2 linked regions of the Arabidopsis thaliana genome follow. The protein of the gene in region 2 interacts with the protein of the main gene of each other region in a biochemical or structural test. Each region holds a gene or a part of one and is shown on either strand. Other genes may lie near its edges.

What was found. The genes of interacting proteins can lie anywhere in the genome.
Region 1: the proteins of KTF1 (region 2) and AGO4 form a complex in vitro, tested with the Arabidopsis thaliana proteins (2 studies listed by BioGRID).

The regions. Positions count from the first base shown.
Region 1 is NC_003071.7:11,536,374-11,544,194, reverse strand, and holds AGO4 (Argonaute family protein), read left to right. Parts: upstream 1-1,803; 5' UTR 1,804-1,968; exon of another isoform or gene 1,969-1,987; intron 1,988-2,688; 5' UTR 2,689-2,691; coding exon 2,692-2,964; intron 2,965-3,123; coding exon 3,124-3,329; intron 3,330-3,407; coding exon 3,408-3,632; intron 3,633-3,708; coding exon 3,709-3,845; intron 3,846-3,941; coding exon 3,942-4,039; intron 4,040-4,138; coding exon 4,139-4,236; intron 4,237-4,357; coding exon 4,358-4,526; intron 4,527-4,622; coding exon 4,623-4,739; intron 4,740-4,820; coding exon 4,821-4,928; intron 4,929-5,017; coding exon 5,018-5,080; intron 5,081-5,148; coding exon 5,149-5,262; intron 5,263-5,359; coding exon 5,360-5,525; intron 5,526-5,615; coding exon 5,616-5,731; intron 5,732-5,808; coding exon 5,809-5,946; intron 5,947-6,040; coding exon 6,041-6,168; intron 6,169-6,262; coding exon 6,263-6,328; intron 6,329-6,412; coding exon 6,413-6,476; intron 6,477-6,557; coding exon 6,558-6,669; and 10 more. UniProt on the Arabidopsis thaliana protein: Together with RDM3, required for transcriptional gene silencing (TGS) by DNA methylation and repressive histone modifications (H3K9me2) of several chromatin loci.
Region 2 is NC_003076.8:1,194,510-1,202,095, reverse strand, and holds the start of KTF1 (kow domain-containing transcription factor 1), read right to left. Parts: upstream 6,028-7,586; coding exon 5,814-6,027; intron 5,499-5,813; coding exon 5,251-5,498; intron 5,160-5,250; coding exon 5,004-5,159; intron 4,885-5,003; coding exon 4,726-4,884; intron 4,635-4,725; coding exon 4,551-4,634; intron 4,430-4,550; coding exon 4,362-4,429; intron 4,283-4,361; coding exon 3,875-4,282; intron 3,790-3,874; coding exon 3,735-3,789; intron 3,669-3,734; coding exon 3,513-3,668; intron 3,397-3,512; coding exon 3,253-3,396; intron 3,170-3,252; coding exon 3,067-3,169; intron 2,992-3,066; coding exon 2,842-2,991; intron 2,764-2,841; coding exon 2,709-2,763; intron 2,585-2,708; coding exon 2,520-2,584; intron 2,367-2,519; coding exon 2,297-2,366; intron 2,074-2,296; coding exon 2,023-2,073; intron 1,934-2,022; coding exon 1,894-1,933; intron 1,778-1,893; coding exon 650-1,777; intron 571-649; coding exon 1-570. Other genes in the region: AtRZ-1c (RNA-binding (RRM/RBD/RNP motifs) family protein with retrovirus zinc finger-like domain-containing protein), read right to left, coding at 6,683-6,965, 7,063-7,586. UniProt on the Arabidopsis thaliana protein: Effector of RNA-directed DNA methylation (RdDM) triggered by small interfering RNAs (siRNAs, 24-nt RNAs).

The sequences.
Region 1 (7,821 bases), on a different chromosome or scaffold from region 2:
ATCTTGTATACTATCTTTTACATAATCTCACATTATCTTGTACACGGCCTTGTACATCATCTTATACACCTCTGTTTATACCATCTCATACATCCCTTCACGCACACAGCCTAGTATATTATTTTGTACTGAACCATATGAATTATCCCATACACCGTCTTATACACTACCTCGTATACATTTTTGTAAATTGTCCGATACTCTCATGTGATGTAATTTTAACCATAAATACACATTACGCATATGCGTGGTATGTCATTGGAGTAACTAAAGATTGAATCAAATCCACGGGAAAATGCCATAACAGTATAACACATTAAATTATGATGAAATCATTTGCCATAAGACGGTATGAGAATCTACGGTCTCACTAATACCCTAACATGCATAGAATAAAAGAAGGGATAAATGAAAGCAATTAAACTATATATAGTAGATAATTGAAAACTAAACTAACAAAATTAAGAACTAAAATGAGCAAATAAACAAGATAGATAAATTGAACAATCAAGATGTTAGAAATCATGCAATCGATCTACATATTTTCAAGATAATGAACCTCTAACAATTAGGCTAATTCATGATTAGTGTGGTAAAAGCCTCTAACGTAACTTAGCCAAATTCAAAATCAATTTGGTAAACTATCACAATGGTTAAGAAACAATGCACACAAATTCCTTTAAGTTACAAAGCATCCGATCCTAAATATCACTTGCTAGATGGTTAGGCCAGAAATCGTTTTCTTTCAATTTTCTTTGGGTCTGAACGTAGACACAACTCAAACACCTCTCTTGATCTTGTATGCTTTAAAATGTGGTCTCTTCAAGTCGGGTATCTTGTTTGTTTTGGTTCCGAGTGCATCTGTCTTTAGCCACCTAGCTAGCTAGAAGGTAATTGTAGATATCCATTTTCACCAACTAGCTAGTTTTTGTCCTCCAGCTGGCTTGGCTAACTACGTACGTTCCAAATGTCAAACACTTAAAAACTATATGTCAACACTAACTAACTAAATTTATTATATCCTATATCTCAAGTGTACACAATGTATAATATTAATAACATAATTCAAGCACCTCCTGATCTTATATACTTCAAAAATGTGATGTCTCTCTAAGTGGAGTATCATTTTAATTTTGGTTCCAATTGCATCTGTAATTAACCATATATAGCTAACTTGCCGATGTGTGTAATATAACTAAACTATAGAGAATATTTGTAGATACCCTCATTCTCCAGCTGGCTAGCTATGTAAGTTCCAAATGTCACACACTTGACTATTTGTCTTTCTCCACTTATAACCTTAATCACAGATCAAGAATCATCTCCAATTATAGTTTTCTTTATTGAATCCACCTAATCTCTATTCACCAATTTATAATTTTTATAATTGCGGCTTAGATACCTTTTTAGTCAATAATCAAAAATGGATTCCAGTGAGGATCAACCATAAACGAGATCATTGAAGCACATAAACTAATTGACAATAAGTTACATAGTTTAGGAGACATAAAACTGTTTAAATTTTATATTGTGCTTAATAATAATTTATAATTATTGTAACACAGTTGTTAAATCCATAGTTATGTAGCATGTACGTGTCAATTAATGCGCACATTCAATATTAGAACACAGAAGGTTTGTCTACCACCACTACCAATTGAAATTAAAAAATTTAAAATAATCTAGCGGGACACAAAGCGAAGTCAATAACATAAGTCAACCATTTTAACGGTCAAGATTGTAAGAGTAGCTCTACTATGATGGAGCCGTGACGTAGAGGAACATAACTGAAAGCGAAGAATCCTCGATTTATGCTACTGTCACTGAACCATTTTCCTCTCAGGTCGGAGCTAAATTTTGAGAGTAAAATAAAAAAGCAAAAGAGAGAAATTGAAAAAAAAAGAAAGAAAAATAATCCTCTCTTGTTTCGGCTAGGGTTTCGTTTTTGTTTCATCGATAAACTCAAAGGTGATGATTTTAGGGTCTTGTGAGTGTGCTTTTTTGTTTGATTCTACTGTAGGGTTTATGTTCTTTAGCTCATAGGTTTTGTGTATTTCTTAGAAATGTGGCTTCTTTAATCTCTGGGTTTGTGACTTTTTGTGTGGTTTCTGTGTTTTTCATATCAAAAACCTATTTTTTCCGAGTTTTTTTTTACAAATTCTTACTCTCAAGCTTGAATACTTCACATGCAGTGTTCTTTTGTAGATTTTAGAGTTAATGTGTTAAAAAGTTTGGATTTTTCTTGCTTATAGAGCTTCTTCACTTTGATTTTGTGGGTTTTTTTGTTTTAAAGGTGAGATTTTTGATGAGGTTTTTGCTTCAAAGATGTCACCTTTCTGGGTTTGTCTTTTGAATAAAGCTATGAACTGTCACATGGCTGACGCAATTTTGTTACTATGTCATGAAAGCTGACGTTTTTCCGTGTTATACATGTTTGCTTACACTTGCATGCGTCAAAAAAATTGGGGCTTTTTAGTTTTAGTCAAAGATTTTACTTCTCTTTTGGGATTTATGAAGGAAAGTTGCAAACTTTCTCAAATTTTACCATTTTTGCTTTGATGTTTGTTTAGATTGCGACAGAACAAACTCATATATGTTGAAATTTTTGCTTGGTTTTGTATAGGATTGTGTCTTTTGCTTATAAATGTTGAAATCTGAACTTTTTTTTTGTTTGGTTTCTTTGAGCAGGAGATGGATTCAACAAATGGTAACGGAGCTGATCTTGAATCAGCAAATGGGGCAAACGGGAGTGGGGTTACTGAGGCATTACCACCTCCTCCACCAGTTATACCTCCAAATGTGGAACCAGTTCGTGTTAAAACTGAACTTGCTGAGAAGAAGGGGCCAGTTCGAGTTCCTATGGCTCGAAAAGGATTTGGAACAAGGGGCCAAAAGATCCCCTTGTTAACAAATCATTTCAAAGTCGATGTGGCTAATCTTCAGGGTCATTTCTTCCACTACAGTGTAAGTTTTTGAAACTATTTTGTGTTATTTTTGTTGGATGATTGATGTCACTAGAATGGATGCAGTGTGTATGTTTTTTTGCTACTGTTATGTTGACTTATTCTGTTATTTGGTTCTGAATGATGTCAAACTAATGGGATTATTTGTGGGTTTGTACAGGTGGCTCTATTCTATGATGATGGTCGTCCTGTTGAACAAAAGGGTGTTGGAAGAAAAATCCTTGACAAGGTGCATCAGACTTACCATTCTGATCTGGATGGTAAAGAGTTTGCTTATGACGGTGAGAAGACGTTGTTTACATATGGAGCTTTGCCTAGTAACAAGATGGATTTTTCTGTGGTGCTTGAGGAAGTATCTGCTACAAGGTAAAACATCATCTGACTATAGTCATTACATTGGTTGTGTGCTTTAGTTTTTGTTCTTAGTAAGGATTTTGTGAGCAGGGCTAATGGAAACGGAAGCCCCAATGGGAATGAAAGTCCAAGTGATGGTGATAGGAAAAGACTGCGTAGGCCTAACCGGTCCAAAAACTTTAGAGTGGAGATCAGCTATGCGGCCAAAATTCCTCTTCAAGCTCTTGCTAATGCAATGCGGGGACAAGAATCAGAGAATTCCCAGGAGGCAATACGGGTTCTTGATATCATATTGAGGCAACATGCTGCTAGACAGTAAGTGTCAAGTGTATATATGTATTTTGTTAATCTCATATATTTGTCTTTCTAATACCTATGGTACAAATTGCAGAGGTTGCTTGCTTGTTCGACAGTCTTTTTTCCACAATGATCCAACCAACTGTGAACCAGTTGGTGGTAACATCTTAGGATGTAGGGGATTTCACTCCAGTTTCAGAACAACGCAGGGTGGCATGTCACTTAATATGGGTACATAATTTCACTTGTACTTGATGTTGGTGTTTGATTCTGTCTGTTGTAGCAATAATTTAGTGTCTAATAGTTTATGTTTTGTTCTTATGCTAGATGTTACAACCACCATGATCATCAAGCCTGGTCCAGTGGTTGATTTCCTAATTGCTAACCAAAATGCTAGGGACCCTTATTCGATTGACTGGTCTAAGGTTAACTACTTATTATGATATGTGGCTTTTTCATAATCTAAACATGTTCCTTACCTCTTTTGCTTGGCTTGACACATTTTAACATGTTGTTTTCAACAGGCTAAACGAACCCTTAAGAACCTAAGGGTAAAGGTCAGCCCCTCAGGCCAAGAATTCAAGATAACCGGATTGAGTGACAAGCCTTGCAGGGAACAAACGTAAGATATTCACTAATTTGACTTTGTTGTGAGATGCATTTGTTTCTGTTTTAGTTTTCTGACGTTGTGATCTCTTTCAAAGATAAATGGTTCTCTGAAGTTTGCTTTTTACACTGTCTAGGTTTGAATTGAAGAAAAGGAACCCAAATGAAAATGGAGAGTTCGAAACTACTGAAGTTACAGTTGCTGACTACTTCCGCGATACAAGGCATATTGATTTGCAATATTCTGCGGATTTGCCTTGCATCAATGTTGGGAAGCCAAAGCGACCCACTTACATTCCTCTCGAGGTTTGCCTCTTATACTCATCAACGTTCTCATAGTCATGGTATTAATTTGTTTTCAAAAATCATGCTAATGTATGTAATGTGGTGGAATTTTCGCAGCTCTGCGCGTTGGTTCCACTTCAGAGGTACACAAAAGCACTTACCACGTTCCAAAGATCTGCCCTTGTTGAGAAATCCAGACAGAAACCCCAAGAGAGGATGACTGTTCTGTCCAAAGTAAAGTATCCTGACCGCTTCATAACTGTTCTGTTTTGTCAGTGAACTGGAATTTACATATCTTTGGTTTCATGCTTTCAGGCTCTGAAAGTTAGCAACTATGATGCGGAACCACTCCTGCGATCCTGTGGCATTTCGATCAGCTCCAACTTTACTCAGGTGGAGGGTCGTGTTCTACCAGCTCCCAAGGTATGGTGCGATCGCTTACTTTTTGACATGATGAATTGTTTTTAGCTTTTGCATACATGTAATATTCTCTTGTTTTCTTTGACTGACAGCTGAAAATGGGATGTGGATCTGAAACCTTTCCCAGAAATGGTCGCTGGAACTTCAACAACAAGGTGCTGTTTCTCTCTGCCTTTCTTTGTATTTTACCTGTTCAGAGAGTCTGATTCCCTTTGTTGTACAGGAATTTGTTGAGCCCACCAAAATTCAACGATGGGTTGTTGTCAATTTCTCTGCTCGCTGTAATGTACGTCAAGTTGTTGATGATCTGATAAAAATTGGAGGATCAAAAGGAATTGTAAGCAGGATTCTCTTCTTTTGTTTTTAGTATTCTTGAAAACTTGTTTGTGATTATCAACAATTTAGATACTGCTTCTTTCTGTATTCTGTCCCAGGAAATTGCTTCTCCCTTTCAAGTGTTTGAGGAGGGTAATCAATTCCGCCGTGCTCCTCCTATGATTCGTGTTGAGAACATGTTTAAGGACATCCAATCGAAACTCCCTGGTGTCCCACAATTCATACTATGTGTGCTCCCTGACAAAAAGAACAGTGATCTCTATGGTTAGATATCTCTTAAATCCAGTCTTCAATCATCTTTTTGTTTTATATAATAGAAGTTTCCTTGGATAAATACTTTGAATCCTTCATCAGGTCCATGGAAGAAAAAAAACTTAACTGAATTTGGCATTGTTACTCAATGCATGGCTCCAACGCGGCAACCTAATGATCAGTATCTTACTAACTTACTTCTGAAGATTAATGCAAAGGTGATCTCTCTCCTTTTTTCTCTTTTGGAAATGGTTTTTGCTTCTTGTGTGCAATCTCTGATAACATATAACTACAGCTTGGAGGCCTGAACTCAATGTTAAGTGTAGAGCGTACACCTGCGTTCACTGTGATTTCTAAGGTTCCAACCATTATCCTTGGGATGGATGTTTCACATGGATCTCCTGGACAGTCTGATGTCCCGTCCATCGCTGCTGTAAAATGTTTACTCACTGCTGTTGTTTGCTTTTTAGTTTGGCTAGTTCTTCAAGACTGATATTTAGTTGTCTCTTTTGTTATGATTAACTTAGGTGGTGAGTTCTAGGGAGTGGCCACTGATATCCAAATATAGAGCATCTGTTCGGACACAGCCTTCTAAGGCTGAGATGATTGAGTCCCTTGTCAAGAAAAATGGAACTGAAGACGATGGCATTATCAAGTGTGCACTTACACTAACTCTTGATGTGGCTTTTGTTTAATCTTTGCATGAAGTCTGGTTTAAGTATCTATGTAACTTTATTTGTTGATTGCAGGGAGTTGCTGGTAGATTTCTACACCAGCTCGAATAAGAGAAAACCAGAGCATATCATAATTTTCAGGTATGTTACATCAGAGCTTTTGTCTCTTCATTTTTCCCATCTTTATTTTCTCATATTGGTTGTTTCGATGTTTAATGCTTCTAGGGATGGTGTGAGTGAATCTCAATTCAATCAGGTTCTGAATATTGAACTTGATCAGATCATCGAGGTAGTTGAAACTTCAAAATAAAAGTTTCTCAGTGTAATTTTCTTCTTCTGTTAGTACTTAATTGCATTTCTCTTTCCTCAGGCTTGCAAGCTCTTAGACGCAAATTGGAACCCAAAGTTCCTTTTGTTGGTGGCTCAAAAGAATCATCATACCAAGTTCTTCCAGCCAACGTCTCCTGAAAATGTTCCTCCAGGTGATTGACAAATCTATATTATAACCTTTTTTGACACATAGCTGATCTCTATCTCATGGGGGTTTTGGTTATTTTGCAGGGACAATCATTGACAACAAAATATGTCACCCAAAGAACAATGATTTCTACCTCTGTGCTCACGCTGGAATGATTGTAAGTTTCATCTATCAACTCAAAACTTTATTTGTTAATGTTTGCTCCTCTGAATCGTTTTAATACTCTTTATGTTCTGAATTAGGGAACTACCCGCCCAACTCACTACCACGTCCTGTATGATGAGATTGGTTTTTCAGCTGACGAACTTCAGGAACTTGTCCACTCGCTCTCCTATGTGTATGTAGTCTCTTATTCAACCTTCATTACATTTTTTGTGACAACTTCGATTGTGATGATAACAGAAATTATCTGATTTCTTTCTTTGGCAAAATTCCAGGTACCAAAGAAGCACCAGTGCCATTTCTGTTGGTAATTACCATAACTGTTTTCTCTACTCCATCGATTTAAAGTCGTCTTCATTTGTTCTCTTAATAACTGACATTTTAATTTTTTGTGCAGTTGCGCCGATCTGCTATGCTCACTTGGCAGCTGCTCAGCTTGGGACGTTCATGAAGTTTGAAGATCAGTCTGAGACATCATCAAGCCATGGTGGTATCACAGCTCCAGGACCAATCTCTGTTGCACAGCTCCCAAGACTCAAAGACAACGTCGCCAACTCCATGTTCTTCTGTTAAATGAGCAGCCCTACTTGGCTCAGTAAGTAAGTAGTAGTTCAATAGGCTATCTGACTTTCAGCTTAGGATCTCTCTCGGCCTTGAAGCCAGGCATCGACACTAAGGCTTGGAATGTTTTTTGTGACTATTATCGCCAGCCTTGTTTGCCTGTTGGGGTTTGAATATGCTTTTGTCCCCCTTAACAATTCGGTTGTTTAATTAAAGACTTATTGTAGTGAATATCTAAGTTCAGGAAGTTACCCTTTTGTCTAAATCGTTCTTGCATTGGAAACAGACTACATACATAACCTAGACAAAGCAAAGCCTTTTGTGTAGTGCTCATGATTAAAAACTGAAACCAAAACAAATGACAGAACCTAGTCAAAGTTAAGAGTTCACGACTTGTTGTAGTGGATATTTCTGAAGTTTAGGACGTCACAAT
Region 2 (7,586 bases):
ACCATCGTTCTGTTTACCCCAGCTTGAACCACCCCCACCACCATCTTGCTTTCCCCAGCTTGATCCTCCACCAGAATCATTCTGCTTCCCCCAGCTCGATCCATTGCTAGTCTCGTTCTGCTTACCCCAGGCAGAACCACTGCCTCCACCACCATCTTGTTTACCCCAGCTTGAACCACCCCCACCACCGTCTTGCTTGCCCCAGCTAGATCCCCCACCAGCATCACTCTGCTTTCCCCAGCTCGATCCACCACTAGTATTGTTCTGCTTACCCCAAGCAGAACCACTATCACCACCACCATCCTGCTTACCCCAGCTCGAACCATCCCCACCACTGTCTTGCTTGCCCCAGCTAGATCCCCCACCAGCATCATTCTGCTTGCCCCAGCTAGATCCACCACCACTACCATCGTTCTGTTTACCCCAGCTTGAACCAACACCATTGTCTTGCTTTCCCCAGCTAGATCCACCACCAGCATCATTCTCTTTACCCCAGCTTGAACCGCCCCCATCGCCATCTTGCTTGCCCCAGCTAGATCCGCCACTTGGTTTACTCCATGGAGCCGGATCCTACAGTCATTGGAAAATTACAATATGAGACTTCAACAGCCTACAAAAATAAAATAAGAAAGTTTTTTCTCAAACTAACCTCAGAATTACCGAAGGAGCTTCCCCTCCCAAACTGATCCCTGCCACCTCGACGACCTCCTCCTCTTCTCCCACCAAACCCACGTCCTCCCCTATCAAATGTTTGTTCTGAGTACCCTCCCTCATCCTTCTTACCCCACGACGATCCTCCATCATCCTTCTTACCCCACGACGATTCTCCATCATCCTTCTTACCCCACGACGATTCTCCATCATCCTTCTTACCCCACAACGATCCTCCATCATCCTCTTTGCCCCAAGAAGATCCTCCATCATCCTTTTTTCCCCACAACGATCCTCCATCATCCTTTTTGCCCCAAGAAGATCCTCCATCGTCCTTCTTACCCCATGATGATCCTCCATCAAACTTTTTCTCCCAAGACGATCCTCCGTCATCCTTTTGACCGTCATCTTTCTTACCCCACGATGATCCTCCATCATCCTTATTACCGTCATCCTTTTTACCCCACGAGCCTCCGTCATCCTTTTTACCCCACGATGCCGCTCCGTCACCCTTTTTACCCCATGAAGAGCCATCATTTGGTTGGCCCCAGTCAGGAACTCCCTTACTATTGGCATTGGAATCTTCTGCTGACTTGTTCCAACCAGAAGAACCATCTTTTTTCTTCCCTGAACCAAAATCTCCACATTGATTACTCCATGCAGATCCTCCCTTGCTCTCGTCAGAGCCTTTATCCTGTTGTCCCCAGGAAACTCCATCTTTCTTACTTGCGCTGGAATTTCCATCTTTGTTTCCCCAACTAGATTCTCCATCTGATCCCCCTTTCTTACCCCAAGACGATTCTTCTTTCTTCTGACTTGATTCAGAAGCTTCACATAGTTTACCCCATACCGAGTCCTCATCTTGCTTATTACCACCAGAGCTTCCACCATGCGTACCCCAGGAACCTAAATCTGCAACATTGGAAGTAGAAGCTCCTTGTTTTTCCCACGAAGAAGCTTCAACATTTGAAGCACTTGTATCTCCCCATCCACTAACAGTGCCAGCTTCAGAAGCAGGTGTTTTACCCCAGGGATTCCAACCACCAGGTTGATCACTAGCCGAGGCAGGTTTGTTCTCAGCTGCTGCATTGGCCCATGCTGAAGTATTATCATCTGCAACTGTTGGCTGCAGAGTAGAAACCTTGTGACATTAAGAAATCTGCGAGTTCCTTGAGCCCTTTGACGCTAAAAGAGGTGTAAATGTAAAAGTAACGACATAAAAGTATTAAGTTCAAGACTTACCGAGACGTCAGACGTAGGCTTACTGCCGCCCCATGGGTTCCTGTAAGGAGGACATGAGATCAAAATTTTGTTACAGCGATTTAGGCAATAAATCAGCTCAGGGAGAAATTCATATTATTATTAACACACTTCTCACGGCACAGTTGAACCATGTTACGTTCAATATTGAGACTCTCATGCCTAAAATCTATATATCAAGGGACAAAAACCAGCAAAAAAAAACAACCCCAAACCGCAGAAGGAATCAACACAAAAATCAGTTGAAGAAAGCTTATCATCCCAATAATTTGTTTACATCCCAGTAGTTATATCTGAAGGAACTAGATCCAAATTTGAAGAATATCCAATTATATCTAAGGAAACCATAACTACATTTGGCTACATAATTGGGAATTAGACTTACGAGTCAGTAGAAGGGCCTCCTATATTCCAGTTACCACCCTCACTTGACGTCCCTGCTCCTATCGCCCAGTCTACCATACGAGAAAAGAGAACAGTTAAAAGGAAATAGGATAGATGGCTAGCAATGTTCAACTGGTTCAGGGCATTTAAGAACAAAGCAGGTATGCTATACGTATTTGCAGCCAAATTGAAAAGAATTCTGAATGTGCACAAGAAACACCAACCTCCAGTGCTGCTTTCTGTTCCAAGCATGCCAAAAGGTTGAAAGGAACCAGTACCCGCATCCCCACTTTTATAGCAAACAGAGCGTGTAAGAGAAATAGGAATTTGACAGAGAGGACAATGAATGATAAAGATGCATGGACAGAGTCAAGAGTCCGAGTAAAGAATTCAAGAGATTCATGTGAGCTTACCTTGTACTTAGCACAGTGTTTCTGTCGCGAACCTCAGCAAGATGCTCACTTTTAACTGAATAGTATCATTGAAAATATTCATAAGCACAATAGAACAGTATTATATCAAAGGAGTAAACGCATGAAAACAAACCTGTGAAAATTTTATGCTGGGAATCAAGCTTGACTGTAACATCAGAATAACGTAAAGCTATTACACGGCAGAGATACCCCTTCAATGGACCCACCCGTATCCTCAGCTTTTGGCCTATAGAATACGTGCTACCTATGTCTCCTTGGTTGGCTGCATTTGATTATCATTTATGAGAAGCCTAAGGTATTAAAAAGAAGCTAGATTATAATAACCCTCCATACTTACAGCTATTGTATCTTTCCCTGGGCTGCCACTCTTTTTCAGGAGATAGCGGCGATTTTGGGGAGGATACAAAATCTTCAAAAGCTGTACCATCAAATCCACCAGTCTGAGAAAAAAACAGAATGTTATCAGAACGCGAAGATCTTGCAATTGTATCAAAAGACAGCTGCAGGGACTGGGCTATTTTACCTTCTCATTGGACTCTTCAGTAAAGAGTTTAACTTTCTCACATGATTGTGATTTGCAGCAGAAATATCCACCATTTTCTTCCTCGCTCTCATCATAAAGGAATATGATCCCTCTGTATACTTGCCTTACAACTCCTTGTTTACCCTAAATTTATAATTTATGCATGAAAACTAATAAGTTTTTACACAAAATTGTTCACCTAATTATGTGAAAGAAAAGTGCAACAGAAACAAACAAGAAAATGAAATTTAAAATCACACCTCGGATGGGCCTTTGGAAATCTTCACAACATCATTTACTGATATTTGTTTCTTGTTCAGATCCAAGGCAGTAAATTTTGAATCAAACGGTCCATTCTGCATTTCTTTTTTTCCAACAGTGACTACAACGGGTCCATCTATACCTTCTTTCAGAACCTGTAACATTTGAAAATCATCAGAGACAGGCCATAGGGTATTAAGAGATGGTGAATAACTACATACCTTGTAACCGTCACCTTTGTCATCCACACCCACAATCAGACCAAAGTCTTTTCGACTACAAAGGGAAAGATAGGAAGTGCTTAACATATGAAATTACAACAAAGACTTGCAAAAAAGTACAGTTATGGACGAATCCTTACCTGAAACAAACTAGATTATATAACTCATAGCTACTTTCTGACTTGAAATCTGATGAACCTTCTCCTTTTCCACCCCTTGACCCTTCTCCTTTTCCACCCCCTGATCCTTCTCCTTTTCCACCCCCTGATCCTTCTCCTTTCCCACCCTCTCTGCAGGTTGGAAGAATCTTTTTCTTCCTTTCTTCACCATAAATTTCTGAGATCCACTCTACATCACCAGTTTCTTTTCGGTCTACAGGCGTAAATTTTAGTAACTCATCCTTCGTTGGTATAACCCCCCAGGAAGATATTGAATCTAAGGATACTTTCTTATAGAGATACCCATCTTTCAGCATCAGACTATCAAGATGTTCAAAAGTTATTCCAGTATCACGATCTCGCCTCACTTGAATGAGAGGTCTGAACTCCCTGTGATAAAAGAGAGGAGAAGAAAGATTAGAAAGGTGGTAATTATTTACCAAACGAGAAGAAAAGATCAAGCTTTTACTCGAGCTCGCTTGAACTGATCAATCTTGGAGCTGGAGTCTGGCCTTTTTGGACAGTAACTCCCCCACCCTGCACCAGAAAGTTAGAGTAAAGCACAGAGCAAACGATAAGATGACATGAACGCACAAGAAAAACAGTCCCAAAATTAGTGGCACAGACAAATAAATGAGCGAGGAGACAGGGTAGCTACATATTTCTGGGTCAAGGCCTGAATATCAATCCTCGGAATTAGCTTTATTAGTGCTTTATTCCGAGTGTCACTCACAGCCACAATCTACAAGGACATATAACATAAACAGATTAGGAGGTAGCCTTACCAAGAAAAGAATATGAAAAGGAAACATATACAGCAAAGTAAATTGTACCTGAGCAAGATCTCCTTTGTATTTACCATTCTTAACACGAGCCCATGTTCCCTCAGAAACTTTTTTAGTTTTTTTTTGGACAGTTAGCAGATTTGGAGTTTCGGCTTTAGGAAGTAACACCATCCGAGTAGCGTATATACCAACTAAACTCTTGCATGCCTAGGAAAATTAGACAAATCAGAATGACATACACATTATGATTATCCCCAAGCAACATTCTCCAAACTGTCAGATAAGTACGAGAATAATCCAACATAGGCATGCTAAATGTTCAATACCTCAAGAACATCATGTTCCTTGTCCGCTTCTATGAAAATGAAACCTTTGACATGGTCCACAGAAAAAACAGATATGATCTCCAATTTGGTGCCTATCTTTCTCAGCTCAACAAATTTGTGCATGAGACAGAAAACGGATCGCCTCTCCCGTCCAATCTACAGGAACAAACCAAATGGAGTGAGCAGAAGTAAGAACATAGTCATACAGGGATAAAGCATAAGTAGAAGAAGCCTTAGTTTGACATACCGCACACTTGACTTTCCATATAGGAGGATCCTTGGAGGTTGGAGCAAGAGCATCCATCTCAATGGCATCTTTGATATCATCATCAGCATATCTAAGAAAACCAGAACCTGGCTTGTATCTTTCTTCCATTATTCTATCAAATTCCTCCTCGTTTAAATCTTCTTCCTTGGGAAAAACAAAGGATGATTTGCCCTTTTCTCCCTTGCCAGCCTTACTACTCTCTTCCACCTCAGGCTCGTCTTCCATATCTGCATCAAAAGAATAGTAAGATAATAAAGTGTGGAACTTTCTGCAATGTTCAAGCTTTAAGAGTATGAAAGCCTTAAAAGTTAAAACTAGACAAAACAGCTCGAAATCAAACGAAAACAAAATGCAAACCCTAAACCCTAGTCACGGAATCAGCCATTCGACAGAGATGACCTAAAAATCGCCACTTTAGATGGTAAAAATCTCAGTAGAAACAAAAACAGACACAATCGGAGACCTCACAAAAGAAGAAACGAAGCAATGAAACCATGCAAAGAAGAAAATCAACGAACCCAGAGAAGATAATGATAAATTACCGTTAAGGAAACCTAATCCGTCATCATCTTCGTCGGAGCTGCCTCCGTAGTAGCCAACTTCAGCTGATTCTTCGAAGAACTGAAGAACCTCAGGGTTTTTGCGCTTCTTAATCCTCAAACCTTCATCTCTGAATTCGACGGAGTTTTTCCTTTTCTGTCCGCCGGAATACGAATCACTACCGGCGACCTGTTTACCCTTTCCCTTGCGATCCATCGTCTTCTTCACGGTTAGTTTAGGGCTTTCACAATTGCATTTCTTTTGAGAGACAAGTAGCAGAGAGAGTGAAGAAAACGTTTATAGATGTGATTGTTTTCCGACTTTTGAGTGGCTTTTTTTTTTACTCTTTACTCTTTTAAGGCCTTTTTATTATCCAATCGATTTGGACTCTTTATTGTTTTAATTAATTTCTCAACTTTTCTTTTGTCTCTACAATAATATTCTGCTTCGTTTTATTTGCCTATTTGGTAATAGATTGAACTTATAGGAAAAAACGAAAATTTTGACAATATGAAGCAATATGTACAGTATACAAAACAATAAATCAAAATTTTAGAATAACATGCGGATGCCTAAGACACTCGTCTCTTGTACATTGATGATGAAACTAAAAAGGCTAGTTATGTGTGCAAGGTTTAACATTGACTGACGAAGCTCAAAAGTCATGTTATGGTCCAAAACAAACCAAAAATAATAAAGGATCAAAATACAAAGCTAAACAGGTCCGCAAACTAATCATATATAAATAAAAAAGACAAGTCTTTTACACCTATAACGCTTACAGAGATATTCATTACCACAAGCAACACACACGACTGAGTGTATAGAGCTCTAACCAAGCATCATTCTCACTTTCTTTCATTAATGTGTCTTAATAACGGTCAAAAGTGGACGACGACGGATAAGCTCCACCACCACCACTTCTGCTCGGTCTCTCATAAGGAGCACCGGCTCTGCTTCTAAACCCTCTTCCCTCCTCTCCTCCTCCACGGATGGGACCACCAGCTCTACCACCACCGTACCTGTCACTGCCTGCACTCGGGGCTATGTCTCTCTCAAAGGACCGAGCTTTGTCATAGCTCCCTGGAGGATAACGGTCTGATCCACGGCTGTATCTATCACCACCTGCAAACCGATCAGCCGGGGCTGCATACCTGTAAAATCACAGATAAGAATAAAGTTATGTAAGAAAAGCAAGTCACTTTGATAACCTTACAATAATCTGAGTTGCATTAGAAACTTGATTCTAACCTGTCACTGGCGTATCGATCACGGGGTATGTAGGCTTCTCTGCTGTCAAACCTGTCTCTAGCACCATAGCGTGCAGCACCGTCGTATCGATCATCTATGTATCGTTCGCGGTCCACATAGCGGTCACGGTCAGCATAGCGGTCAACACGTCCATCAGATCCTCCATACGCACTAGCACGTGAAGAAAAACCACCAACAGGTCCTCCACGACCACCACCAGCAGAAGGACAATCACGGGCCCAGTGCCCAACCCGTCCACACTTGAAGCATTCATCTTCACCAACACGCCCACCTCCACCTCCACCTCCACCAAAGCTTCCTTTTCCAGCAATCGAGTAGCCACTGTCTCTGCCACCTCTAGAGCCATGACTTTCTCCATCATCTCGCCCCAGTTTTGGTTCAGCTCTGTTCACTGAGATGACCCGATCACCAAAGTCCCTTCCATGCATCTCTCTGATGGACTCATCCATAGCGCGGCGATCAGCAAAAGTGATAAACCCGAATCCACGTGAACGACCAGTATC